Linked DNA regions of Ovis aries. The protein of the gene in region 1 interacts with the protein of each later gene in a pairwise test. Links are inferred from orthologs where the notes say so. Each region holds a gene or a part of one and is shown in the gene's direction. Other genes may lie near its edges. The genes, in order: UBE2I, PIAS3, TRIM38, HNRNPC, RNF40, E3 SUMO-protein ligase ZBED1 and SETDB1.

The links.
Region 2: the proteins of UBE2I (region 1) and PIAS3 interact in a two-hybrid assay, tested with the Homo sapiens proteins (2 studies listed by BioGRID and IntAct). The link is inferred for Ovis aries from reciprocal best matches to the Homo sapiens genes UBE2I and PIAS3.
Region 3: the proteins of UBE2I (region 1) and TRIM38 interact in a two-hybrid assay, tested with the Homo sapiens proteins (2 studies listed by BioGRID). The two-hybrid records come from large-scale screens. The link is inferred for Ovis aries from reciprocal best matches to the Homo sapiens genes UBE2I and TRIM38.
Region 4: the proteins of UBE2I (region 1) and HNRNPC interact in a two-hybrid assay, tested with the Homo sapiens proteins (2 studies listed by BioGRID and IntAct). The two-hybrid records come from large-scale screens. The link is inferred for Ovis aries from reciprocal best matches to the Homo sapiens genes UBE2I and HNRNPC.
Region 5: the proteins of UBE2I (region 1) and RNF40 interact in a two-hybrid assay, tested with the Homo sapiens proteins (2 studies listed by BioGRID). The two-hybrid records come from large-scale screens. The link is inferred for Ovis aries from reciprocal best matches to the Homo sapiens genes UBE2I and RNF40.
Region 6: the proteins of UBE2I (region 1) and E3 SUMO-protein ligase ZBED1 interact in a two-hybrid assay, tested with the Homo sapiens proteins (4 studies listed by BioGRID and IntAct). The link is inferred for Ovis aries from reciprocal best matches to the Homo sapiens genes UBE2I and ZBED1.
Region 7: the proteins of UBE2I (region 1) and SETDB1 interact in a two-hybrid assay, tested with the Homo sapiens proteins (2 studies listed by BioGRID and IntAct). The link is inferred for Ovis aries from reciprocal best matches to the Homo sapiens genes UBE2I and SETDB1.

Annotation. Positions count from the first base shown.
Region 1 is NC_056077.1:1,566,025-1,569,995, forward strand, and holds the start of UBE2I (SUMO-conjugating enzyme UBC9), read left to right. Parts: upstream 1-1,171; 5' UTR 1,172-1,285; intron 1,286-1,649; exon of another isoform or gene 1,650-1,889; intron 1,890-2,112; exon of another isoform or gene 2,113-2,193; intron 2,194-3,971. UniProt on the Homo sapiens protein: Accepts the ubiquitin-like proteins SUMO1, SUMO2, SUMO3, SUMO4 and SUMO1P1/SUMO5 from the UBLE1A-UBLE1B E1 complex and catalyzes their covalent attachment to other proteins with the help of an E3 ligase such as RANBP2, CBX4 and ZNF451.
Region 2 is NC_056054.1:99,195,480-99,199,570, reverse strand, and holds the start of PIAS3 (E3 SUMO-protein ligase PIAS3), read left to right. Parts: upstream 1-1,291; 5' UTR 1,292-1,389; coding exon 1,390-1,413; intron 1,414-3,276; exon of another isoform or gene 3,277-3,324; coding exon 3,325-3,742; intron 3,743-3,900; coding exon 3,901-3,985; intron 3,986-4,091. UniProt on the Homo sapiens protein: Functions as an E3-type small ubiquitin-like modifier (SUMO) ligase, stabilizing the interaction between UBE2I and the substrate, and as a SUMO-tethering factor.
Region 3 is NC_056073.1:30,919,585-30,923,084, reverse strand, and holds part of TRIM38 (E3 ubiquitin-protein ligase TRIM38), read left to right. Parts: intron 1-109; coding exon 110-340; intron 341-1,271; coding exon 1,272-1,294; intron 1,295-1,389; coding exon 1,390-1,502; intron 1,503-3,500. UniProt on the Homo sapiens protein: E3 ubiquitin-protein and E3 SUMO-protein ligase that acts as a regulator of innate immunity. Acts as a negative regulator of type I interferon IFN-beta production by catalyzing 'Lys-48'-linked polyubiquitination of AZI2/NAP1, leading to its degradation.
Region 4 is NC_056060.1:24,263,353-24,266,852, forward strand, and holds part of HNRNPC (heterogeneous nuclear ribonucleoproteins C1/C2), read left to right. Parts: intron 1-1,178; coding exon 1,179-1,339; intron 1,340-1,892; coding exon 1,893-2,006; intron 2,007-2,248; coding exon 2,249-2,409; coding exon of another isoform or gene 2,410-2,478; exon of another isoform or gene 2,479-2,508; coding exon 2,509-2,592; 3' UTR 2,593-3,500. UniProt on the Homo sapiens protein: Binds pre-mRNA and nucleates the assembly of 40S hnRNP particles. Interacts with poly-U tracts in the 3'-UTR or 5'-UTR of mRNA and modulates the stability and the level of translation of bound mRNA molecules. Single HNRNPC tetramers bind 230-240 nucleotides.
Region 5 is NC_056077.1:27,407,019-27,410,518, forward strand, and holds part of RNF40 (E3 ubiquitin-protein ligase BRE1B), read left to right. Parts: coding exon 1-217; intron 218-303; coding exon 304-421; intron 422-546; coding exon 547-696; intron 697-884; coding exon 885-1,097; intron 1,098-1,177; coding exon 1,178-1,303; intron 1,304-2,394; coding exon 2,395-2,535; intron 2,536-2,628; coding exon 2,629-2,730; intron 2,731-3,500.
Region 6 is NC_056080.1:6,131,382-6,135,594, forward strand, and holds the start of E3 SUMO-protein ligase ZBED1, read left to right. Parts: upstream 1-1,413; 5' UTR 1,414-1,496; coding exon of another isoform or gene 1,497-1,605; intron 1,606-2,258; exon of another isoform or gene 2,259-3,338; intron 3,339-4,213. Other genes in the region: dehydrogenase/reductase SDR family member on chromosome X, read left to right, coding at 1,497-1,605.
Region 7 is NC_056054.1:100,911,274-100,913,780, forward strand, and holds part of SETDB1 (histone-lysine N-methyltransferase SETDB1), read left to right. Parts: intron 1-615; coding exon 616-785; intron 786-1,303; coding exon 1,304-1,932; intron 1,933-2,507. UniProt on the Homo sapiens protein: Histone methyltransferase that specifically trimethylates 'Lys-9' of histone H3. H3 'Lys-9' trimethylation represents a specific tag for epigenetic transcriptional repression by recruiting HP1 (CBX1, CBX3 and/or CBX5) proteins to methylated histones.

The DNA of each region.
Region 1 (3,971 bases):
CAGGGCTAGTGACCATCCTCACTGTAACAGACGGGCTGGGAGCGCTGAACACCTGCTGAGAGCTCTGGCCCAGACGTGGGCCTTGGGACACTAGCCTTGCGGGGGCGGGGGGGGGGGGGGCGGTGCTGGGCGGTCTGCCCTGGAGGCCAATAGTCTCAGTACAGTGCCAAATAGGGGGCTGCCGGGGGTGAGGGTGGGGAGGATGGAAGGAAACGGAGGAAGGAGGAGACCCAGGGCGAAGGGGTGAATGAATGCAAGCTGGGGGCCGGGGTGGGGGGGCGGTCACCTCCCGCCACTTGACCCCAAAGAGCCCACGGGCGGAGGGGCTGACCTTGGAACGCTCCCTCTTTCCCACTCTGGGCCAGGGGACGGGGGTCGGGGGCCGCTAGACGGAGAGGCGCCCAGCGTGGCCGGGAAGGACAAGCGTTCGCGCGTGGGTTCGGGGCGGACCTGAGACCCCGGCCACAGGGGCCTAGCCCTGCCCCTGCTCCTCCCCCACCCGCCCGGACCACCCGGCGCCCCTCCCCCCAGGCCAGCCCCTGGGTTAGGGAGCGTCTGCACTTCTCCTCCCGTCGGTCGGGCCCGCACTTGGTCTTGTGTACGGGGCCTGCTCATTGGGCACATTAGACGGATGCCCCGCCCAGGGCCCCGAGTTGGCCAATCGCAAGGGGTTTCACAGCATGCCGTAGGCGAGAGATTGTCACCGTGCTGCGACGCTTGGGGGATCCCTAGGCCTCAGTGGTCGTTGCTCCTCCGCCCCGGGCCCTAGCCTCGAGGAGACCTCCGGGACCGCTGCCTGGGGAGGTGCCCGCGGGGCATCCGGAGAGCCCGGGGAGATCTCGGCCGCCCTGCTTCCCCGCCGCTACCCGGCCGGTCCTCGCGAGGAACAGTGCCCCGCGAAGGGGAGTTTGCAGACGCTCCCTCACACCCGGGACGCGGCCCCTTTAAGGACGCAGGTGTCCATGGCGCCGCCTGACTGGAAAGCCGCCTCCGGGCCGGGCTCCCGAGCGGGGCCCGGGGCGCGGGCGCGCGGCGGCGGGACACGGGCAGCGGGCGGCGCTCGGCGGCGCGGGCGGCGCGGGGCTGGCGGTGGCGGCGGCGGGGTGCGAGCCAGGCGCGCGGCGGGCAGGCCCCGCAGGCCCCGCCCCGCCCCGCCCGCGCCGGGGTCCTCGAGCGCTCGGGCTGCGCGCGGAGCGGGCTCGGGAGGGAAGTCCCGAGACAAAGGGAGCGCAGCCGCCGCCGCCGCCGCCTAGTACGCCTCGCTCGCCGGGCCGGGCCGCCCGAGGTGAGCGCCGCGGGGCGGGCGCCGGGCCGCGGGGGCCCAAAACTCCGCTGCCGGCGGGTCCGGCCGGGCAGGCGCCCTCCGCGCGCGGCCCGGCCCGTTCCCGGGGACCGGCCCGCCCCGGGCTGCTGACGCCGCGGCGGGGGCCAGCCCGCCGGGCTCCCTTCGGGTAGCCCGGCCCCCGGCCCGCCGCGGCCTCGGCCCGCGAGGTGGGGGCGTCTTCTCCGGGCGCGCGCTCGGGGCGAGTCGCGTCCGGGGCGGCCGACGGCGCGCTCGGCTCGGGCCGCGCTGACAGGAGCGCCAAGCCCTCCGCTCAGGCGGAGCGTTTCCGGGGTCACGGTCTGCGCGCGAACCTGTGGCGCGTTCCAGCCTGGTAGAGGACGCGCTGCACAAAGAGTGCAAAGCCGCGCGCTGCAGGAGCGCCGGCGCGTTTGGGGGTGGCGTGTGATGCCTGGAAACGAAAACAAGCCAGAGCTCTTGCGCCTCCGAGCTCCGCTCGCCGTTGCGGGGGACCCACCGAGTGTTCGCTCTTCCCTTGACGGGGAGATCTCGTCCCAAGACCGCTTTATACCAATTGCACGGCGGCTGGAGCTGATAGTTTTCGCGAGTAAGAGGAAGGCGAGGGAATGATTAGCTGGGCTGATGGTAACGGCCAGCAGCTGTCCTTGAATCACAGAAGTAACTGGTTTGGTTTGTACGATTTGAAAACAAGCTCCGTTGGCAGTTTCTCCCCGGTTTGCGGAGTTGGCTTTCGTTGGTCTGCTCTTAAGCCCGTGGTCCTCTGTGTTTCTTGCTCCCAAGGAAACTGCCTTTGGACGGAGAACCTGCCCAGCAGCAGGGGGAGAAGGAGCCCACGTTTGTGCTGACTTGATTTTGGGTGGGTTGGGGGTGAATTCTGCATCGTGCTGCACGTGAGTCTCGCTGGGGGTTTGGGCTTGCTTTGGAAACAGCTGGGCGTCCTGGGAGGCGTGTCAGGAAAGACCAGGGAAGTGCCCCTGGGCTGGAGGATCTCCTGAGCGCAGGTGAAGCCAGTGCCTTCCTTCTCCTGGCGAGCTTACGTTTGGGTGGGAAAGCCCACCAAGGGCCGCGAGCCTCTATCGGTTTCATCCTGGGCCGACCTCTGGGCTCACAGTGCTATCGCCCGTTTTACCGGTGAGAAGGTTGAAGGGGAAGAGGGAAGCCGTTGGCCCTCACCTGCAGCCGGTAAGTGGCTTCAGAGATTGATCTGAGAAGCGTGGGTTCAAGCACAGCCCACGCTGGAGAAGGGTGGCTGCAGACTTCAAGGGTCTGCCCCAGACCCGGATCCTGTGCTTCAGGCTGTCTCTAGCAGGTCATAGATACCCGATCTTTGCCTCTTAGTGATTTTGCTGCCCTGAAGACTGCGCACACTTAACAGCTCCTTAAGTGCCTCCCTGTCAGTTGGGAAAAGCTGATTGGATTCTAAGTGGGATGCTGAAGGAGTGGTTCCGTGTTGTAATTAAAATGTAGCAAATTGGCTGCTTTCTCCTGGGCAGCGAGGCCAGCCTCTCTCTGGGCGGGGGCAGGTGTGCGCCTGTGACTCCGCCATGGCTGCAGCATCTGTCTTTCAGGTGCCCAGTTTGGTTCTCACCCCCAAGGACGGGGTTGCAGCAGCTCTTGTGGGACACCCCTCCCATTACTTTCTGCACCTGAGACAGTCACAGCTGGCGCCCCAACAGGGTCTGCTGAGGCGGCTTTGTTCCTTGTCAGTAGAAGAGGTGGCCTGTGGCGGGGTCCTGGCATGCGGTCAGCAGGCATGCGGCACTGAGGATCACCCCACCGGCCTTTTCTACATCCTGGCCTAGCCATGCCGCTCCAGAGCCCTCGAGTGCCAGCTTGCCCATTCCAGAACCCATGTGCTGCCCAGGCTCCAGGAACCAGTCTTGAAGCCTTGCTGAGCGCAGACTCAGCAGGAACTTCACAGTGCACGGAGAGCCAGGCTGCTTGTCTCTGCCACTGAGCTCCCGTGTGGGACAGTTTAGAGGTGGTCCTGGCCCGTGAGGGGCTCCTGTAGGATTTCCGCACATCCCTAAGCCCCCACCAGGGGAGGGAGAGGCGTTCCCATCTGCCCTGGTGATGAGGCGGGGGCAAGTTCTGTTTAGAAGGGTGATGTGAAGTGAAGGGTTTTCAGGCTTCAGGATTACTGCCCTCATGTTCCCATGGACTTGAAAGCTGCTTGGCACTCCCCTCTGCTCTGCCAGCTCCCCACCTGAGGGAAGTGACCCCAGCATCTCCCACTCTGTCCTGTTTGTGGACAGTCTGGTGCTGCAGGCAGTGCCCAGGTGGCCAGCAACCACCACTAGGACCCAGGGGCACCAGCACGCCCACGTCAGCCTTCGGGCAGCCGCACTTGTGGTCTTCAACTTATATCACATGAATGAATGAAAATACCAGATGGGTGTGCACGTGTAGGGAAGGAGACCCCAGACAGGGTCCTGTCCATCAGGTCCACAGATGAGGAGGAGGTGAGCGGGCCAGGACTGGAGGTTCGGGGGTGGCAAAGAGAAATTCTCTTTGGGGTGTGGGCCTTCTTGCTTGGGACTTGATCTTGAGGTTGGGCAGGGTTAGAGCCTTTGAAGAGTGTCCTCAGTGGTCAGAGCCGGGCAGCAGCTCCTGTCACCAGGCCTCCTGCGTGGGAGCTAGAGTTTCACGCTCGCTTTCCCTTGTGTTG
Region 2 (4,091 bases), on another chromosome or scaffold:
CAAGGGAACTGGGTCTATGGCTTTGGAGGAAGGAGAGTAGGCAGTTCAGAGAGAGGCAGAAAAATTGCCCTTTCTCGGTGAGAAAACCTCCCCTCCATTCACCTTCAACTACATTAAAGCTCTTAAGTCTCTGGTGACAGTCTGTGTATTTGAGGTAGGGAGTAGGGGACCACAGGTGGAAGTAGGGTTTAGGTACACTTCGGATTTTAGCAGTTCATGTTTTCTTTCCCGTAGGGAGAGACTCACTGTAAGTAGCTACCTCTTTAAGCGATCGGATTTCTGGTCCACACCGTCTTATTTGCAGCTTACTTCCACTCAAAACACATAGAAGGGTTTGCTTGCAGGGAGTCAGAACAGTAGTGAGAATGGTGAAATCAAAGAACGTCTCTCCCATCCACTCCCTAGAGGAGTTAATTTCTCCTCCGCAGGCTCAGAGTCCCGCCCTCTCCCGTCTCAGACTCCGCCCCTCCCCACTTCTCCGCTGTCCTGGCGGGCTCATCCAGGAGGGGGCGGCCCCAACCCTAGCGCTGGGCCGGGCCGAGCTCCCGCCCGGGCGGAGCTGCGGCTGCAACGTCCAGCTGCCGGACCGACCTCCAGCCGTGCAGACCTTGGGAGCAGCGCCGGGCCCCCTCCCCCCCATCTCCCCAGCCCACCCTCTGAGCGTCCCGAGTCCCCTCCCCGCTCCCTGCAACTGTGCTGGTAAGTCCCACTCTCGGCACGAAACTTTTTTGCTGGCGAATTTGAGCCCTGCCGCGGGACCATGAAATACAATGTAACCGGGGCGGGGGGAGGGGGTGAAGAATTGAGAATAGCCGTCTTGAAATAAACTATTTACGACTCCTTGGCGTCCCTAAAATGGATCAGGTCTCACCCATTTCCCGAGTTGGTGGAACTCTTGAATTTGGCTGGTTAAACTTGTAGATAGGGAAACGAGGGGGTTTGCTCCAACTTCGCTTCCCCCTCCCCCATTTCTCTGAGATTAAGCCCTTCTCGAGACTTTTCCCTCCATATCCCAAATATCTTTGGCTTTCTCAAAGCTCATCCCTTCCCGACTCCGGCGTGGCAAGGCCCCCCTCCCCCATGTACTTCGGGTTCACCTCCTCTCCCATGCCACCGGGGACCCCGCGATCCTTCGGGCGGCACACTCCCTCCGGGTCTACGGGTCTGGCACCGCGGCCAAAGACGTGCAGCGGCTGGGTCCGGCTGTGGAGGGAGGGGCTGAGGCCGGGGTTCGTCCGAAACCCGGCGGGCGGGGCCGGGAAGGGGAGGTGTAGGGGGCCGGACGGGGCGGAGCAGGCGGCATTTGCGGCCGGCGCCGGGGTGGAGAGTTGTGCGCCGGTCCCTGGGCCTGAGCTCCGGCTCGGGCTCGGGCGCCTGCGATGTCTCAAGATGGCGGAGCTGGGCGAATTAAAGGTACCGGCCCCCTCCCCCATCCCCATCTGGACTGAGCCGGGCTGTACGCCGAGTCTGGGAAGCGACCGAGACTGGGTGCTGAGGGCTCGGGTGGGGGCTGGAGACGTGGTGGGGACTGGCTGCTGGGGATGGAGAGAAGTGGCTGTGGCGAGGAAGGGGCTGCGTGGGGCTCCGGGGGCGGGGCCGCGGGGCAGATGTAGGGGTGGGGCCGAGGGGAATTGCAGCTGTTGGGGGCCGAGGCTCAGGGGGCGGGGACGCGGGGTAGAAGTCGAATTTGGTAGTAGGGGCAGATGTAGGGGTAGGGCGGGGAGGAAAAGCTGCTGTGGAGGCACAGCGGGCGAGTCGATCGAGGCCTAGAGAGGTGACAGTAGGGGGCAGGTGATGGGAATGGGGCTGGGGGGCCGATTACCGGGAGGCTCCTGGGGGAAAGGCGCTGAGAGGATAGTGACTTTGGGGCTGCTGTTGGGATCTGAGCCTTGGGAAGTACCAGTAGGTGGCTGAGATCTAGGGGGCGGGGCTGTACGGGGATAGATCGAAGGGGTGGGGCAGAAGCATCCTGGAGGCTGAGAGGAAGGTCCTGCCTTAGTGAGTCGGTATCTCTGGGCAGAGAGAGAGAAGTGTTAGACTATGGGATTGAAAAGAATTTCTTGACAAAGCTAATGGAGAAATAAAGACAGGACCGAGGAGATAAGGATGAGGGTAAAGGTAGAGGAGCAAGTTTTTAATTATATTCCTCAAAAGGGGCCCAAAGCCATAATGCCTCCATAAGAATTGCAGATGATTAGCAAGATTGGCCCGTGGCAGGGTCTCCTGGAGATTCACAGAAGTGAGTTCTTTAAGCGGAGAGCTTACCACTACCAGAATCTTGAGGATAAATAACCATCTTGCAGAACCTTTAAAAACCATGGGGTTCACCCCCTTGCTCCTGGCTTTATTCTGCCTTTTGAAATGGAACCAGAGTCATGGGAAGGCCTGAGGTCTAGTCACTGGTTCCAGTTTCCTAGGAGAGCATGCAGTTCTGCAGTCTGGCTCAGGGGCTGATCACCTCCCTATTCTTCCAGGGGCTCTCTTTAGAGCTTTCCCCTCGTTTCTTCCACCCCTGTGGAGGAAGGGAAGAATCACTTACTTTCTCTGGGTAGGAGAGAAGCAGGTTATTAGTTCCTGGCAGATGGAGTAAACAGGTAAACAGGAAGGATACCTGGACTCCACAATTCACTGTTAACCCCTCACCCCAAGTTTTACTCCTGTTTCTCTCCCAGAAAAAATAGGACTGAGGGATGAGTAGTTATGTAAATAACACCAAGGAAAGGTTTGGGAAGTTATAAGCATTGAACCCTGACCTGGCCACAAAAGCTTGGGGAAAATAGCTGAGGTAGATTGAGGGGTGGAAAGGAGTTGATTTTGAGGCACAGTCCTCCAGCCACCTGGCCCCTTTCTTCTCTGTGGGGCTGTCTGGCCTGAATCCTCTTCTCCCCTTCCTCCCCGTCTCCTGTCCCCTTCCCAGGAGGCTAGGATGGGTCTGAGAGTCTGCGAAAGAGCAGGAGAGGAGATAAGCAGCTTAAAGGAGAGTCCAGGCTCAAGGCAGGGTGGTGGGAGGAGGCTGTAGTGGACTCAGAGGTGTGCTGTAGGGTGGCAGGCACCCTGCGCCCACATGGTCAGCTGATAAGATGGGGAGACAGGATTGTTCAAGCCTGGGGGGGTAGTGGAGAGGTGACCTGAGGGTTGCTAGGATGGGAGCTAGATGTCCTTTTGGCTAGGTGGGCAGTTTGGCAGCAATCCACTGGCTGCAAAGCATCTTTCAGATCAGTGCTGGAGGGAAAGCACATTCCCCACCTAATAGCTCAGCCCTGGTGTCTTTGGCAGGACAGGCCTGTGCAAGGTAGGATCCTCAAGCTTCTCTGATCTCCACAGCACATGGTGATGAGTTTCCGGGTGTCTGAGCTCCAGGTGCTCCTCGGCTTTGCTGGCCGGAACAAGAGCGGACGGAAGCACGAGCTGCTGGCCAAGGCCCTACACCTCCTCAAGTCCAGCTGTGCCCCCAGCGTCCAGATGAAGATCAAAGAGCTTTACCGCCGACGCTTTCCCCGCAAGACCCTGGGGCCCTCTGATCTTTCTCTGCTCTCCTTGCCCCCTGGAACCCCTCCTGTAGGCTCTCCTGGTCCTCTGGCTCCCATTCCCCCGGCCCTCTTGGCCCCTGGCACCCTGCTGGGCCCCAAGCGTGAAGTGGACATGCACCCTCCTCTGCCCCAGCCTGTGCACCCTGACGTTACCATGAAACCATTGCCCTTCTATGAAATCTACGGGGAGCTCATCCGGCCCACCACCCTAGGTATGGCTCTTTGTGGTCCCTGGGTCTTCCTGGCCTCCCTGCTTCTTCCTCAAGCCTTTCTTAGGCTTTGTCCTGTGGGCTCAGCAAACTGGAATAGGGGCCACTTCTGTGGCCCCCTGGGCACGGGCTTGGGAATAACTGCCCCTTTGTGTCCTCAGCATCCACTTCTAGCCAGCGGTTTGAGGAAGCGCACTTCACCTTTGCCCTCACCCCCCAGCAAGTGCAGCAGATTCTTACTTCCAGGTTTGTCTCTTTGAGTCCTCCTGCCTCATCCTTGGGTGGTTACCCTGAGACTCCGCTCTCTGACTTTCTTCTTTTCTTTTTTGCCCTCCTTCTCACCATTCTCCTG
Region 3 (3,500 bases), on another chromosome or scaffold:
GAATGCCATTCCTTTTTAAGACTGAATAGTATTCCACTGTATCTATAGATTGCATATCAGTTCATCCATCAATGGGCATTTGGTTTGTTTCCACTTTTCCTAACTCAAGGAGAAGATAGAGGTTCGGAAACAAAAAATCCAGTCTGACTTTAAGACTCTCCAGAGCTTCCTTCATGAGGAAGAGAAGTCTTATCTATGGAAACTGGAGAAAGAAAAAGAGCAAACTCTGAGGAGACTGAGGGACAATGAGGCCAATCTTGAACAGAAGAACCATGAACTCCAGAGCCACATCCTGGAGCTAGAGAATAAATGTCAGTGCTCAGCCCAGAAATTGCTTCAGGTAAGACCATGCACTTGGAGTAAGGAGGGAAGGTATTTGTTCTTGACCTTTCAGCAGGAGAATGGTGAGGAACCATGGGAAGCTTGGTGAGGCTTGCCTGTTTCACTCAAAAATGGCACATTAGTGTAGGGAATTTAAATTTAATGTTCCTTTTAGATACATATCAATGTTTGCAAGGTGGCCCCCACCAGTCTATAGAGTGCCTTTAGCTGAATTAGAAATAATATGGCTATAGTGGGCTCCTTGGCTAAATGGAACCATGGGACAACTTTGGCTACCATTTATTTCTGTACCATGTTTACAAAACTCTGACTGTGAAAGTGTCTGCTGAAATACCCCTTCAGATGACTGATGGGTGACAAAGTGGGACAGTCAAAATGAGTGATTACTTTTTCCTTGATTTGCTTGTAGAGCCCTCCAGAGCTCTTTTGGATCCAGCCCATTACAATAAACTAAACTATGACTGTAGCTGTTTTATCCTGTTCCTACTAACAGAACTAGGGGTCACCCTGTAAGGATGAGAATGTAGTTCGATGCCCTACCACCATGTGATACCTGCTGCTACCACCATAGTGGCCCAGTCTCAGGGCTTAAGCCTGGGTTCACTACTTTGGACCTTTGCAATAAGTGTCTCTAATATGGGCTCACTCTGAAGGAAATGAGGTCACTGAAAGCAAGTCTTTCCAGAGGGAGCATGGGACAAAGCTCCTGGCCTTCTTCCACATAGCAAGGAAAGTAAACACCCTGATATGCTGACTATTCCATGGGGCCAGGATGGAAATCATCATCTCTAGGTATTCATCAATATCTAAGTCCAGGATTAGTCTTTTTTACTTCTTTGGAAGGAGTATTAGAGAGAACAGCCTCACATGCCAAGTCCCATGAAATACTGATGTTCCCACACTTATCTTTTGTCTTTGTCTCTTCATAGGATGTGAAAGATACTTTGAGCAGGTGAGTCCTATATGAGTTCAGGAGGGAAAGAGGTGTGGGTATACAGAGTTAAATGGAATTTACACTGAAGAAGTTTTGGTTTCTGCTTATTCTAGGAGTTGGGCTGTGAAGCTAGAACAACCAGAGGCCCTCTCTTTGGACCTTCATACTGTGTGCAATGTTTCTGAGCTTTACTTTGATGTAAAGAAAATGTTAAGGAGACATCAAGGTATGTGAAGAAGCCCTAAATGCTACAGATAGACGGGACCTTAAGTGGTAATGAAGTTCATCACCTGTCCCCAGGCAGGCTCACAGCCAGAGAGGTTATTCAGGTATCTTTAGTGTAGCTGTCATTCTCCCTTGTTAGTTTTCTCCAGTGCTTAGACAGGGACATGGGATACTGGTTATCTGTGCAGACCCAGTTGGGTCCTTTGCTTAGGGTCTCACAAGGCTGCAGCTAAGGTGTTGGCCTGGCTGTGTTCTTATCTGGAAGTGAGACTGGGAAAGAATCCTCTTATAAGCTCACTCAGGTTGTTGGCAGAATTTATTTCTTTTGGGTTTGGCACTTAGGGCCCTAGCTTGTTGCTGACTACTGGCTGGAGGCTGCCTTGGATTCTAGAAGCCACCCTTCAGCTGCTTGCACTTGGGCCTCCCACCTCGGCCAATTATTTCTGCAAAGTAAGCTACAGGGAGAGAGAGTCCCTAGAGCAAGTCTGCCAGAAAGAGAGAGGCTTATAGAGTGAAATATAGTCACATCTCATCATTATTGCCATAGCCTACAGGTTGGAAACAATTCACAGGTCCTGCCCACAATCAAAGGGAAGGAATTCCATAAGAGTATGAACACTAATGAGGGTAATGAAACTATGAGCCATGTCATCTAGGGCCACCCAAGATGGATGGGTCATGGTGGAGAGTTCTGACAAAACGTGGTCCACTGGAGAAGAGAATGGCAAACCACTTCAGTATTCTTGCCTTGAGAACCTCATGGACAGTATGAAAAGGCAAAAGGTAGGACACTGAAAGATGAACTCCCCAGGTTGGTAGGTGCCCAATATGCTACTGGAGATCAGTGGAGGAAAAAACTCCAGAAAGAATGAAGAGATGGAGTCAAAGCAAAAACAACACCCAGCTGTGGATGTGACTGGTGATGGAAGTAACGTCCAATGCTGTAAAGAGCAATATGGCATAGGAACCTGGAATGTTAGGTCCATGAATCAAGGCAAATTGGAAGTGGTCAAACAGGAGATGGCAAGAGTGAACACTGACATTTTAGGAATCAGCAAACTAAAATGGACTGGAATGGGTGAATTTAACTCAGATGACCATTATATCTACTACCATGGGCAAGAATCTCTTAGAAGAAATGGAGTAGCCATCATAGTTAACAAAAGAGTCTGAATTGCAGTACTTGGATGCAATCTCAAAAACGACAGAATGATCTCTGTTCGTTTCCAAGGCAAACCATTCAATATCACAGTAATCCAAATCTATACCCCGACCAGTAATGCTGAAGAAACTGAAGTTGAATGGTTCTATGAAGACCTACAAGACCTTCTAGAACTAAAACCCCAAAAAGATGTCCTTTTCATTACAGGGGATTGGAATGCAAGAGTAGGAAGTCAATAAATACCTGGAGTAACAGGCAAATTTGGCCTTGGAGTACAGAGTGAAGCAGGGCAAAGGCTAATAGAGTTCTGCCAAAAGAATACACTGGTCGTGACAAATATCCTCTTCCAACAACACAACAAAAGACTCTACACATGGATGAATATAGAAATCAGATTGATTATATTCTTTGCAGTCAAAGATGGAGAAGCTCTATACAGTCAGCAAAAATAAGACCGGGAGCTGGCTGTGGCAAAAATCATGAACTCCTTATTGCCAAATTCCGACTTAAATTGAAGAAAGTAGGGAAAACCACTAGATCATTTAGCTATGACCTAAATCAAATCCCTAATGATTATACAGTGGAAGTGACAAATAGATTCAAGGGATTAGATCTGATAGACAGAGTGCCTGAAGAACTATGGATGGAGTTTCATGATATTGTATAGGAGGCAGTGATCAAGGCCATCCCCATGAAAAGGAAAGGTAAAAAGGCAAAATGGTTGTCTCAGGAGGCCTTACAAATAGCTGTGAAAAGAAGAGAAGGGAAAGGCAAAGGAGAATAGGAAAAATATACCCATCTGAATGCAGAGTTTCAAAGAATAGCAGGAGAGATAAG
Region 4 (3,500 bases), on another chromosome or scaffold:
CACACATACTCTTAAATTAGGAAAATGTTCCTGTCATACCTACTTGCCTTGTTAAAACAGAATAGAAACATTTTTATATTGTTAAGGTTGAGCAGAAGAAAGAAATGTCTGTGAGACTGCAGAATCAATGTTCTCACTGCCAGGATTGGAGACTGTTAGCTACTGATGAGGCATATAAGAGGGAGATGCATCACATTATATAAGGGTTTTAAAATTTCATCGCTTTGAAGTTAGGTGGGGGAACAGTTGGTGGATTGTTCCTTGGCCTTGGAGTCAATAAAGTGGTTCAGAACTAGAATTATTAGTTTTTTTTCCTACTGGTACGTTTTAACTTATGCCCTACAGGCTTTCGTAAAAAGAATAACATAGAATAAAAAGACTTTCTGGAACTAATGTCCTTGTGGGAAGGTTTTTGTTTTATTTTTTTCTCTTTACAAATGTAAGCACCAGTACCATGCCATCACTTTGGTATATCTTTAGCAGTCACAGGAATACTTACTCAGTGGAAGCAGCAGTTGAAAAATATGTAATTTTTGAGAGCTAAATGTGTGCTGAGCAATGAATTTAGGCACTAGTGAATGGTGAACAAGATAGACAATATCCTCTGTTGGAGCTTTGAGCGGAGCTTATGCTAAATGTTGTTAGAATTGATAGTGGTATGTACACCCAGCTAATACATATGAAATGCCTGTTTCTATAGGCCAAAAGCAGTTAATCATGGAAGTTTTATATGGTTCAACCTAATACTATAAACTAGTGATAAATATTTGTATGCTTCTGTGGATGAAAATGCCAGGGATTTAGCTAATAAGAGCACTGTTTGCAAAGTTGGTTAATTGTAGTCATTTGTGAGTACTTTATTTCCTTATAATACTGTAGCACATATATGAAAGGAATAAGATGAAAGGCAAAGGCCATTCATTGCAAAAAGTAAGGTTCTATCAATAATGCCATTGTACACAGGAACCTTTATGTCCAGAGCTTAAGGCAACCATTGTGTGTATGTGTGCGGTTGCAGTATTAAAAAGAATAAATTGGCCTTATGAATGAAATTAACATAGCAAAAAGAATTAATTGCTAGACAATTGACAATAATATATATCATTTTATAAGGATACAGTTGTTGGAATCTTCCTGACTTCTTTGTGAAGAAATTCTGTTTTCCTTTTATCCAATAGGATGTACAGTTACCCAGCACGTGTTCCTCCTCCTCCTCCTATTGCTCGGGCTGTAGTGCCCTCAAAACGCCAGCGTGTATCAGGAAACACCTCACGAAGGGGCAAAAGTGGCTTCAATTCTAAGAGTGGACAGCGGGGATCTTCTTCTAAGTCTGGAAAGTGTAAGTATTATTACTGCAGCTTTCTGGTTCTGATATTTCTTGTATGTTGAAATTCAGAGATCAACGCAGTTAATATTCAAAACTTTTATGTTTGTACAAATAACTGTTTAATCAAATAATGGAAGATGAGAAAATAGTGATTAAGGGGTCAGCTCTAGGCAGCCTTTGTCCTTAAGGCCTTGGTAATTTGAAAAAGTCATTAGATTTTAAGGAGTTGCAACACCCATTCAGTGTATAAAATAATGTTTCTAAAACTAGAAAATGCTTTAAAATAGAATTGAGGGGGTTTTTTTTAGCAGGCTTACAAAAGTAATAATGCTGCTCCTAAGGGAATAGATTCATTAGATTCCATTTTCATCTAATAATCAAAAGATCAGTGAGGCGCCCCCCACCCCCACCCCCACGTCATTACTAGGACAGTCTGGTATAGGCTCCATTTCTCTTCAAGGATCTCATGTTGACTACCATTGTATAGTCTAGAGGGGGAATGTGTTTGGTTATCTGGTAGCTTCTAGTATATCTGATTTTAATCTAGGTTTTTGTTTGTATTAAGTGAAAGGAGATGACCTTCAGACCATTAAGAAGGAGTTAACCCAGATAAAACAAAAAGTGGACTCTTTACTGGAAAGCCTGGAAAAAATTGAAAAAGAACAGAGCAAACAAGGAGGTAAGTGGTCCTATTGCTTGTTGGGTGTAAAGTAGAGTTAGTTACCTAAGCTAGTTGCAAGTACATGTTGAAATAGTGGGGTATAAAGCAATTGAATATGAAACTTGTGGAATTTGAATTGGGAAGGGCATTTTGTGGGAGGATTTAGATTTGTGCTGCAGTTCTATGATCTGTTAGTGGGGATTGTCTACATCCTGTGGACATTACTTGCCCCTAGACAGACTTGTCCTTCTCATCCCCAGTAGAGATGAAGAATGATAAGTCAGAAGAGGAGCAGAGCAGCAGCTCCCTGAAGAAAGATGAGACTAATGTGAAGATGGAGTCTGAGGGGGGTGCAGATGACTCTGCTGAGGAGGGGGACCTACTGGATGATGATGATAATGAAGATCGGGGGGATGACCAGGTGAAAACCACGGGAAAGGAAAGAAAGAGGTGGTGGAGGGGGGATCAGGGACACATGGAGTGCCTCTAACTCCATCCTATTTGTGTCTGTTTCTCACAGCTGGAGTTGATCAAGGATGATGAAAAAGAGGCTGAGGAAGGAGAGGATGACAGAGACAGCGCCAATGGCGAGGATGACTCTTAAGCACATAGCGGGGTTTAGAAATCTTGTCCCATTATTTCTTTACCTAGGCGCTTGTCTAAGATCAAAATTTTCACCAGATCCTCTCCCCTAGTATCTTCAGCACATGCTCACTGTTCTCCCCATCCTTGTCCTTCCCATGTTCATTAATTCATATTGCCCTGCGCCTAGTCCCATTTTCACTTCCTTTGACCCTCCTAGTAGTTACGTTAAGTCTTACCCTGTAATTTTTGCTTTTAATTTTGATACCTCTTTATGACTTAACAATAAAAAGGATGTATGGTTTTTATCAACTGTCTCCAAAATAATCTCTTGTTATACAGGGAGTACAGTTCTTTCCATTCATACAATAGTTGCTTCCCTAACTACAAAGGCAGTCTCATTAGTTGAGTAGAACCTGAGAGCAGCTTTGAGTTAGAGGTATGTGTGTTATACCCCACATAAGAGTGCTGTGTGGGGCTGTTCAACACAAATGTAACAATGTATTTTTGTGAATGAGAGTTGGCATGTTAAGTGCATCCTCTAGAAAAATAACTAGTGTAATAGTCTTAAGATTTGTTTTCTAAAGTTGATACTGTGGGTTATTTTTGTGAACAGCCTGATGTTTGGGACCTTTTTTTCTCAAAATAAACAAGACCTTATTAAACCAGGAATTTGGAGAAAAAATAAATACCCTGATTTTTTTATTTTTGTATTTTATAATTGTTTACTTCAAATTCTTTGTTTCACAGCAGCCTTCACAAAACCCCTAGAATGTACTAGATAAATATCTTTGAGTCAAAATTATTATGCATACCAACATACACTTCAACTTAGGTTTCATTGGGGTGGGTGTTGAATCAAGGAGACAAGTAACTTGGATTGAAGTGGAGATTTGTTTGCAAAAATGGCTTTTAAGGCCTAATGAAAAA
Region 5 (3,500 bases), about 26 Mb from region 1:
AGACGCAGGCCTTGACCCCGGGGGCCCAGGGACCCTCTTCCCGGGGCCGAGAACCTGAGGCCAGACCCAAGCGGGAGCTTCGGGAGCGAGAAGGGCCTGTTCTGGGACCCCCATCTGTAGCCTCGGCTCTCTCAAGGGCTGATCGGGAGAAGGCCAAAGTGGAAGAGGCCAAGAGAAAGGAATCAGAACTTCTCAAAGGTCTCCGAGTAGAGCTCAAGTGAGGTCCTGTTCTTTTCTCCCTCCCACCCCTGCCCAGTGACCTCCAGCCCTACTCACCCAGCCTTCCTCCTGTGCCTCCCCCAGGAAGGCCCAGGAAAGCCAGAAGGAGATGAAATTGCTGCTGGACATGTATAAGTCTGCGCCCAAGGAACAGCGGGATAAGGTGCAGCTCATGGCAGCGGAACGCAAGGCCAAGGCTGAGGTGAGGACAGGTAGGGTCTGTGGGATGTGCAAAAAGGCTGCCCCAGGGCAGGGAGTCGGTGACCAGAGTTGAGCCCTGGGTTAGCAGGAAGCAGTGATGAGAGAGCTCCCTCCTGGAGGTTATAGGTTGATGAACTCCGGGGCCGCATCCGGGAGCTGGAGGAGAGGGATCGGAGGGAGAGCAAGAAGATTGCGGACGAGGATGCCCTGCGGCGCATTCGTCAGGCAGAGGAGCAGATCGAACACCTGCAGCGCAAGTTGGGTGCCACCAAGCAGGTGCGACCCCCCACCCCACCCCACCCCTCCCCTAGCTTTGAATGTTGGCATTCCTTAAACCTCCTGGTCTAGCACATGGCCTGGGTCCACTCTGGGGGTCTTTGTACAGCCGTGTTTTCCTGCGGTTTCCCCATAGTTGATCTTGTCCGTCTCCCACGTTCCATCTTGCCCCTGCCCACTTGCTGCAGGAGGAGGAGGCCCTGCTGTCAGAGATGGATGTGACAGGCCAAGCCTTTGAGGACATGCAGGAACAAAACGGGCGGCTGCTCCAGCAGCTGCGAGAAAAGGACGACGCCAACTTCAAGCTGATGTCAGAGCGGATCAAAGCCAACCAGATTCATAAGCTGCTGCGGGAGGAGAAGGATGAGCTGGGCGAGCAGGTTCTTGGCCTCAAGTCCCAGGTAGGGCTGCCCCAGGCTTGGTAGGGTGGGACTGGAGAGGCAGGGGTTCCCTAGCACTGAGGCCCCACTCCTGTCCTCAGGTGGATGCCCAGCTGCTGACCGTGCAGAAGCTGGAGGAAAAGGAGCGAGCCTTGCAGGGCAGCCTTGGGGGTGTGGAGAAGGAGCTGACACTGCGCAGCCAGGCCCTGGAGCTCAACAAGAGGAAGGTGAGGCAGATGACCTGGGCCAGGGCCTGGCTCTGCTGCCCTACACAGCCCCGTTCACTCTCAGACACTTAATGTGTGCCAGACCCTGTGCTGAGGACTTTCCCTGTTGGGTCATGTTTCGCCTTAAAGTAATCCTACAGCAGTTTTCATTGTTATCTCCTTTTCTGTGAGGGAGAAGGCTGAGGTTTAGGGAGGTAGTTGACTTGCTCAAGAAAGAGTGGAAGTGGAATTTGGGCCCAGCTCTCCTTGACTCCACAGCCCATATCCTGACCACTGCACTGTTTAGCTGTCTCTGTTACATAGTTGTATTAACCCTAAGAAATGTCTCTAGCTCGTGGTAGTTGTTCTTCTGAGGGGAACAGAGTTAGGAATGACATCACTCCTCCAGGTCATAGTAAAGGCTTAACATGGATTTTCATCTCTTTTCTTCTCCTGGACTTCTCTCTGTTTGGTCCATTCGTTTAAGCAGCATTAGTCATGCTCTTGCTGTGTACCAGTACTGCACTGAGTGCTGGGGAGATCACAAGAACAAATCACCTCTGCTGGAAGTGGGAGCTTCCAGTTAGGAGGGGCAGAGAGCAAGCCGATAATCCCACAGATTAAGTAACACTGTTTCAGATCACAGCATGTCTTTGTTTGGCTGCAATGCACGGCAGCAGTGAAGGCCCGGAATTCTAACCACATAACCGCCAGGAAACTCACAGCATGTCTTATGAAGGAAATAGAACTGTATGAAAGGAAAACAGGAGAGCCTCTCTCAGGAGGTGACATTTGAGCTGAGGCTTCAGGGAACTTCAGAGAAAAAGTCTGTGTGTTGGCGGAGTTGAGGGGAGCAGAGAACCCTGTGGAGGCTCAGAGACAGGAGAGAGGGTTATGCAGGTCAGGAGCCAGAAGTGCTGGGAATGAGGAAGACGAGGAGGTGAGGCTGGTGGGGTCAGGAGACAATCGGTTTCAGTGAACATATTGGGACTACTCCCAAGAGCAGGAACCACTGGACAGTTGACATAAGCCTCTGTGGGCCATGGCTCCACACACTTGATTCCCCAGGCTCAGGCCAGCTGTGCCCCTCCTCCCCATTCCACCCACCTCAGGCTGTGGAAGCAGCGCAACTGGCCGAGGACCTGAAGGTGCAGCTGGAGCACGTGCAGACACGGCTGCGAGAGATCCAACCTTGCCTGGCCGAGAGCCGGGCCGCGCGGGAGAAGGAGAGCTTCAACCTCAAGAGGGCTCAGGTGTGTGGTCGGCAGGGGGTGGAGGCAGGGCCGGGGCCAGCAGGTTTGGATTGAGGACCCTTGCACTCAAGACTGCCCCCTCTCCTGCCCCAGGAGGACATCTCCCGGCTGCGGCGCAAGCTGGAGAAGCAGAGGAAGGTGGAAGTTTACGCAGACGCTGATGAAATCCTCCAGGAGGAGATCAAGGAATACAAGGTAGGGCTGTGGAGCTAAGTTCTGCCCCGTGAACCTGGGAAATCTCAGATTGGGGGTTGGTGAGAGCTCCAGGGGGTAGTCCGGGGAACCCAGAAATAAGGTAGGATAGCAAAACCTGGGCAGAATCCATTGTGGAGAATCAAGAGAGCTCTCAAGTGTGGTGCACATATACTCCATACCAGGTAGAGTGCTGAGTGTGGGAGGAGTGGGACCTATACCTGACCTTGGGTCTCTTGAAACTGACAGTCTGGTGGAGGAGGCAGCCAAGTAATTCTTCCCTCTGAGTGATGAGCAGTGTGATGGCAAAGGCCAGAGGGGTTGGGGGCAGTCAGGGGAAGCCCTTAATAGCCCCTGAGCACAGTGGGGAGTGGGGCACGGTCAGCCAGCTTCCTGAAGGCATAGCCTCCAGGGGAAAACGGAAGAGAGTCAGGGTTGGCCATGAGGGATGGAGATGAAAGGGTCCAGCAAACGGAGAGGTGGAGGTGGAGGCCCCTAGTTGAGCGAGGCGTGCTGGAGGCGCAGCTGGACAGCGGTAGCTAAGAGGACAGAACTTGGGCTTTTGATGAGTCACAAGCCTGGGGGGTGGGGAGGGGCCATCCTGAAGGTTAGTGAGCCAGGTTGAGATTCTTGGTTTATTCAGTAGTCAGTGTGGAGACATCCAAGGGTTTTAGGCTGGAGAGTTATGTCTCAAGTATATTGAGGATGAGGTACTTACTCGTGGGACTTCTGGGGAGGCTGTCTGGGAGGACAAAGCGAAGGGCTGATGTGGA
Region 6 (4,213 bases), on another chromosome or scaffold:
GGGCGGGCCGTGGGCGCGCTCAGGGCGTGGGCGCGCTCGGGAGGGTCGGGGACGCTCGGGGAGCGGGGGCGCGAGCGCGGGGCAGGAGTCGGGGGCGCGCTGGGGCGTGGGCGCGCTCTGGGAGTCGGGGGCGCGCGCAGGGCGGGGGCGCGCTCTGGAGAGTCGGGGACGCGTGGGGGCGTGGGCGCGCTCGGGGCGGGAGTTGGGGGCGCGCGCAGGGCGGGGATGCGCTCGGGGCGGGAGTCGGGGGCGCGCTCGGGGCGGGAGTCGGGGGCGCGCGCAGGGCGGGGGCGCGCGCGGGGCGGGGGCGCGCGCCGGGCGGGAGTCGGGGGCGCGCGTGGAGAGTCCGGGACGCGCGCGAGGTGGGAATCAGGGGCGTGCGCAGTGGAGCGGGGGCGCGCTCGGGGCGGGAGTTGGGGGCGCGCTCTGGGGAGTCGGGGACGCGTGGGGGCGGGGGCTTGCTCGGGGCGGGAGTCGGGGTTGCGCGCGGGGCGGGGGCGCGCGGGGGGCGGGAGTCGGGGGCGCGGGCAGGCGAGGCTGGGGCGCGGGCGCACTCGGCAGGGGGGGTGGGAGTCGGGGGCGCGCGCGCGAGACGGGGGCGCGTGCAGGAGGGGCTGGGGAGCACGGGAGAGCCGGGGGCGCGCGCGCGGGGCTGGAGTCGGGGCGCGCGCGGGACTCAGGGCGCGAGCAGGGGCGGGGGCGCGCTGGGGAGTCGGGGGCGCGCTCAGGGCGGGGAGCGTGGGCGCGCGCGGGGGGGCGGGCCGTGGGCGTGCGCAGGGCGGGGGCGCGCTCTGGAGAGTCGGGGACGCGTGGGGGCGTGGGCGCGCTCGGGGCGGGAGTCGGGGGCGCGCGCAGGGCGGGGATGCGCTCGGGGCGGGAGTCCGGGGCGCGCGGGGGGGGGCGTGGGCGCGCTCGGGGCGGGAGTCGGGGGCGCGCGCGGGGCGGGGGCGCGCGCGGGCGTGGGCGCGCTCGGGGCGGGAGTCGGGCGCGCGCGCAGGGCGGGGGCGCGCTCGGGAGGGTCGGGGACGCGCGGGGAGCGGGGGCGCGGGAGTCGGGGGCGCGCGGGGGCGTGGGCACGCTCGGGGCGGGAGTCGGGGGTGCGCGCAGGGCGGGGGCGCGCGCGGGGCGGGAGTCGGGGGCGCGCGCGGGGCGGGAGTCGGGGGCGCGCGGGGGCGTGGGCACGCTCGGGGCGGGAGTCGGGGGTGCGCGCAGGGCGGGGGCGCGCTCGGGGCGGGAGTCGGGGGTGCGCGCAGGGCGGGGCCGCGCGAAGGGCGGGAGTCGGGGGCGCGCGGGGGCGCGGGCGCGCGCGGGGCGGGAGGCGGGGGCGCGCGCGGGGCGGGAGTCGGGGGCGCGCGCGCGCGGGGCGGGGCGTGGGCGCGGCGCGGGGCGGGCCGGCGCGGGCGCGTTTCCGCCGTCGGGCCCGGGGCTCCGAGTCCGGCCGGCGGCGCGGAAGCGGCGGCGGCGGCGGCGGCGGCGGCGGCGGCGGCGGGGCAGCCATGTCGCCTTTGTCCGCGGCGCGGGCGGCCCTGCGGGTGTACGCGGTGGGCGCGGCGCTGGTCGTGGCGCAGCTGCTGCGTCGCTGCGTGCGGGGCTTCGTGGAGCCAGGTCAGCGGCCGGGGAGCGGCGGCGAGGGGCCGGGGCCGCGCGGCGCGGGCGGGGCTGCGGCAGGGGGCTGGCGGGGGCCCGCGTCGCCGGGCCCGGGGCGCGCCCTCCGCCCGTGCAGAGGACCCCCAGGTTCGGGGCGGAGCTGGGAAGGGGCGCGGGGAGGCGGGCGCGTCGGGCGCTCCCGGAAGCAGGCCCGGGCGGCCCGGCGGGGGGAGGAGGCGCGCCCTCCCCGCCGCCCCGCCCGCTCCGCGCGCGCCCCGGGGGCCGGGGTAGCCAGGGGGTCCCGCGCGCCCTGGCCCGGGGGTCGCAGGTTCGTGCGCGCCGCGTCGGGCGCTCCCGGAAGCCGGGCCGGGCGGCCTGCGGGGGTCGGCTTGGGGGAAGGCGCGCCCTCCCCAGCGCCCCGGGGGCTGGGGTCTCTCCAGGGGATCCGTGCGCGCCCCAACCACGGCGGGAGCCCCCCCACCCCACCCCGGGGTCCCTGCGCTCTGCAGACCCGCATCCCGGAGGGAGGCGGGGGCGGGGGGGCGAGATCCCGGCCCCGCGCGGGCTCCAGTAGGACGGGGCCTGCCCGGGTTTGCAGGGACTGGGGGGCTGGGGCGGTGTTGGGGGGCGCGCCAAGGGGCTGGAGGCGGCTTCTAGGGGGTCTAGGAGCCCTGGAGAGGGGAGCTTCAGTTTAGTGGCCGCCGGTTTCTCTGGCCTGCGCCACCTGCGCGGAGCCTCGGGGCCCAATCTTGGCGGTGCGGGGACCCATTCGCGTCTTCACGCATATTAGGGACCCCCCCCCCACCTCCCTTCCCCACCAATCTGGGAGGGAGTCTCCGTCTGTCTGGTCACCTCGGTGTTCTCAGGACTTCGATCGAGGAAACCGGTGTTTCTGTCTGTTCTTGACTTGCAGAGTGTCAAAATAACTCTAGGGTCTGTGTGCCGTAAATGACATGTCAATTTTTTTAGGAGAAAAACAGCTACTTTTGGAAACAAAGTATTCTCTGGGAAGCGCGGTGTCCCGTTACCTTGTAATGACTCTCTTTATTATCTGGGGTAAGAGGAGACAGAGATTCTTAAGTCCAACTGGGTTTTCAAGGGTGTTGGCATAGCCCACACCGCCCTCCCCCCCAACCCGGCAGCCTGTGGGTAACGCCCCTGACCACCCTGGCCACCCCCGGGAGATTGGGGTGGAAAAACAGAAAGGCTGTTACTATGCTTGTGCAAATGCCTTCCCGTGCCTCCACCTGCAGGAAGGCCCAGCAGGGCCCAGGCCTTGCACACCTGCAGCTCTGAGCACTTTTTTTCCTACCCTCCCTGGGTCTTCACCCGGGGAGATACATCTCGCAGGTTTATGTTGAGCTAAGCGATTAGTTTTCTGATAAACTGCATTTTGGTGCTGTTTTTTAAAAAGCACACGGAGCATGACTGGAAAAGACTGCAGAGGAAGGCAGAGTGGAAGGCAGAGTGCAGCTTTGGCACCTGGGCTGACTTGTAAACAGTGAAGGGCTCTGAAGAGCAGTCCCATGTTTGCCCCACACTGCCCCTAAGTTGCAGAGCACCCAGGGGAGGTTGCGGGCTTCCCTGGGGGCTCAGACAGCGAACAGTCTGCCTGCAAGGCGGGAGACCAGGATTCGATCCCAGTGGGGAAGATTCCGTGGAGAAGGGAATGGCCGCCCACTCCAGTATTCTTGCCTGGACAATCCCACAGACAGAGGATCCTGGCGGGCCAGACACTGAACTTTGCCCAGGTATGCAGCTAAATAAACTGTAACCCAGAGGCCCAGTTCAGATGCAGACTAGCTGGGATTTTGTTTTGTTTTGTTTCATTTCTAACGTCTTTATTGAATTCGTTACAGCGTTGCTTCTGTTTTTATGTTTCTCTGGTTTTTTGGTCCCTGAGTCATAAGGGATTTTAGCAACCCCACCCAGGATTGAACCCGATATTGAAGTGGCCAAGTCTTAACCATTGGACCACCAGGGGAGTTCTGTTTTTTGCCTTTAAACATCAGATGTTTTCTTTTTTAACAGTATGTATGGCCTATATAAATGTGCACACAGTATACAATAATTAATGTGGAAATATTACAGGGAGGAAGTCACCAATTCTGACTCCATGTTGGAAGCTATTTTCTTTGACTCGGTTTTTATTATTATAAAGAAAAAGAAGAAAAAAAAAGAAAGTCGCTCAGTCCTGTCTGACTCTTTACGACCTCATGGACTGTAGCCCACCAGGCACCTCTGCCCATGGGATTTTCCAGGCAAGAATACTGGAGTGGGTTGCTATTCCCTTCTCCAGGGGATCTTCTTGACCCAGGGATCGAACCCAGGTCTCCTGCATTCTAGGCAGATTCTTTGCTGTCTGAGCCACCAGGGGAGCCCCTTTATTATTATAATCGTACTCAGTGGCTTGCCCGCAGGACCCTGCCTCTCTGTTTGACTGTCAAATAAAGTGCCTTTGGGGGGCTTCCCTGGTGGCTCAGCTGATAAAGAATCCTTCTGCAGAGCTGGAGACCTGGGTTCCATCCCTGGGTTGGGAAGATCTGCTGGAGAAGGGAAAGGCTACCCACCCCAGTATTCTGGCCTGGAGAATTCCATGGACGGTACAGTCCCTGGGGTCGCAAAG
Region 7 (2,507 bases), on another chromosome or scaffold:
ACTGGCTCTCTCTGATTAACTTCAATAGTTTATTTTTTAAATAATTAAGTTGTAATACCTTGAACTAGATAGAAATGAGCTCCCTGAGAGGAGAGATCATGACCTTTTCCATTGCTGTGTTCCCACTGTCTAGTACAGCTCTTGGTGTTTAATAAATGTTCGCTGAATAAAAGAATGAAAATCAGTACCAAAAGCAAGAGTCCCATGAACTTCCAGTTCCTCATCTTTTGCTCCCTTTCAGTGTCTACTATATGGGCTTCTGATTTCCTTAAATATATTTTATTGTATCAGTTTCTACAAGCTGACTTATTTTAACGGCTCTTAATCTATATTCACATCCTGGTTCACTTAGCTTTTCTCCAGATGTTAGGCATTCTTTTATTCACTGTTGCTGTCTTTAGTGCTATATCTGTATTAATCACTTTTCCCCCTTCTGAGTTATTTCTTTGAGCTATATTTCCAAACAAATCGAAGAGCATAGACAGTTCAGTAAGTCTACTTATTTAGATCATCGCCTGATAAATGATGACACCTTAAAAATTGTAACAGTTCTGTGAATATAACAGATGCTCTAGTGATCATGATATGATTGATTTTATTGTGATCTCCTCCCAGAGTTTATGAGTGTAACAAACGCTGCAAATGTGACCCTAACATGTGCACAAACCGGTTGGTACAGCATGGCCTGCAAGTTCGTCTGCAGCTCTTCAAGACCCAGAACAAGGGCTGGGGTATCCGTTGCTTGGATGATATTGCCAAAGGCTCCTTTGTCTGTATTTATGCAGGTTGGTGATGAAAGGGTTTCTTTCTGGGGTTAGAACATGGTGGAACGTTGAATCAGAGACAAGTTGAATTTAAGAATAAAATGCTTAACCTGTGAACTAGGAGAAAGAAGACAGGATTTTCTTCTATAAAGAACATGAGTGATGCCCCTGTCTGGGTGAATCCGGAAGGGTCAAAAGTGCTTCAGGAGAACAAGAATGAAAAGGGATAAAATTGTGGACATGTTTCAACAGAGAGAGACATGGTTTTAGAAAAACTGACATGTGTCATTTTTTTCCTACATCACTCCACACAGAGATTTAGCATAACTTAGGAAGAATGGGGTGGCAGAACGGGCAAGATCTAAAGCTCCCCTTACTCTCACCGTTAAGACACTAAGGAGGAGGTATCATCAAAGAGAAACAAGAGACCATAATGAATGTTATTTGACTCTATAGTATGGGGCTGGGTATTGATGAAATGAATTTTATTCTTTCTAAAAGCTCCTCATAACCCTGGAAGGCTTTCTCTTCATTCCCAGGGAAGATCCTGACAGATGACTTTGCTGACAAGGAGGGCCTAGAAATGGGTGATGAGTACTTTGCCAATCTGGACCATATTGAGAGCGTGGAGAACTTCAAGGAGGGGTATGAGAGTGATGCCCCCTGTTCCTCTGACAGCAGTGGTGTAGACTTGAAGGACCAGGAAGATGGCAACAGCGGTACAGAGGACCCCGAGGAGTCCAATGACGACAGCTCAGATGACAATTTCTGTAAGGACGAGGACTTCAGCACCAGCTCGGTGTGGCGCAGCTATGCTACCCGACGGCAGACCCGGGGCCAGAAGGAGAATGGATTGTCTGAGATGTCTTCCAAGGACTCTCGCCCCCCAGACCTAGGGCCCCCACATATTCCTGTCCCTCCATCAATCCCTGTAGGTGGCTGCAATCCACCTTCCTCTGAAGAGACATCTAAGAACAAAGTGGCCTCGTGGTTGAGCTGCAACAGTATCAGTGAAGGTGGCTTTGCTGACTCTGATAGCCGTTCATCCTTCAAGACTAGTGAAGGTGGGGAAGGCCGCACTGGGGGAGGCAGAGGGGAAGCTGAGAAGGCTTCCACCTCAGGGCTGGGCTTCAAGGATGAGGGAGACATCAAGCAGGCCAAGAAAGAGGTAAGCAGTGGCAGGGAACTCGGAGAATTGTGGCGGTTATATAAGTTTGATGTGGTGACAAACTTAATGCAATCTCACCATGAGACCATGAGTGCTTTTGTTATTGTTTTTGACCATACCACATGGCTTGGGGATCTTAGTTCCTTGACCACGGATCGAACTTGTATCCCCTGCAGTGGAAGCACAGAGTTCTAACCACAGGATACACCAAGGAATTCCCTCACCATGAGTCTTCATATGCAGATAATTTATTTGATGGATTTCTATGGCAAACCTGATTAATCTTCCCCCTAATACATTCCTATGGTGGTGTGGTTGCTAAGTCATGTCTGATTCTTGCAACCCCATGTTTGTTTAAAGAACCAAATTATTTTACAGTCAGCCTGCTGTGGGGAGAGTACCTGATTCATTCCAAAGTGGAGGATTTAAAAATAATTTTTTAAAACTGCTACCTCAGTTTATCTACATCGTTGCTTTCATTATAGTAGAAAAACAAGAATTGATCTTAACGTATTTTTAATGATGTTGAAACTTACCACATTACAGGTGGTGAACAGTCCCCTGTCCTTGGAATA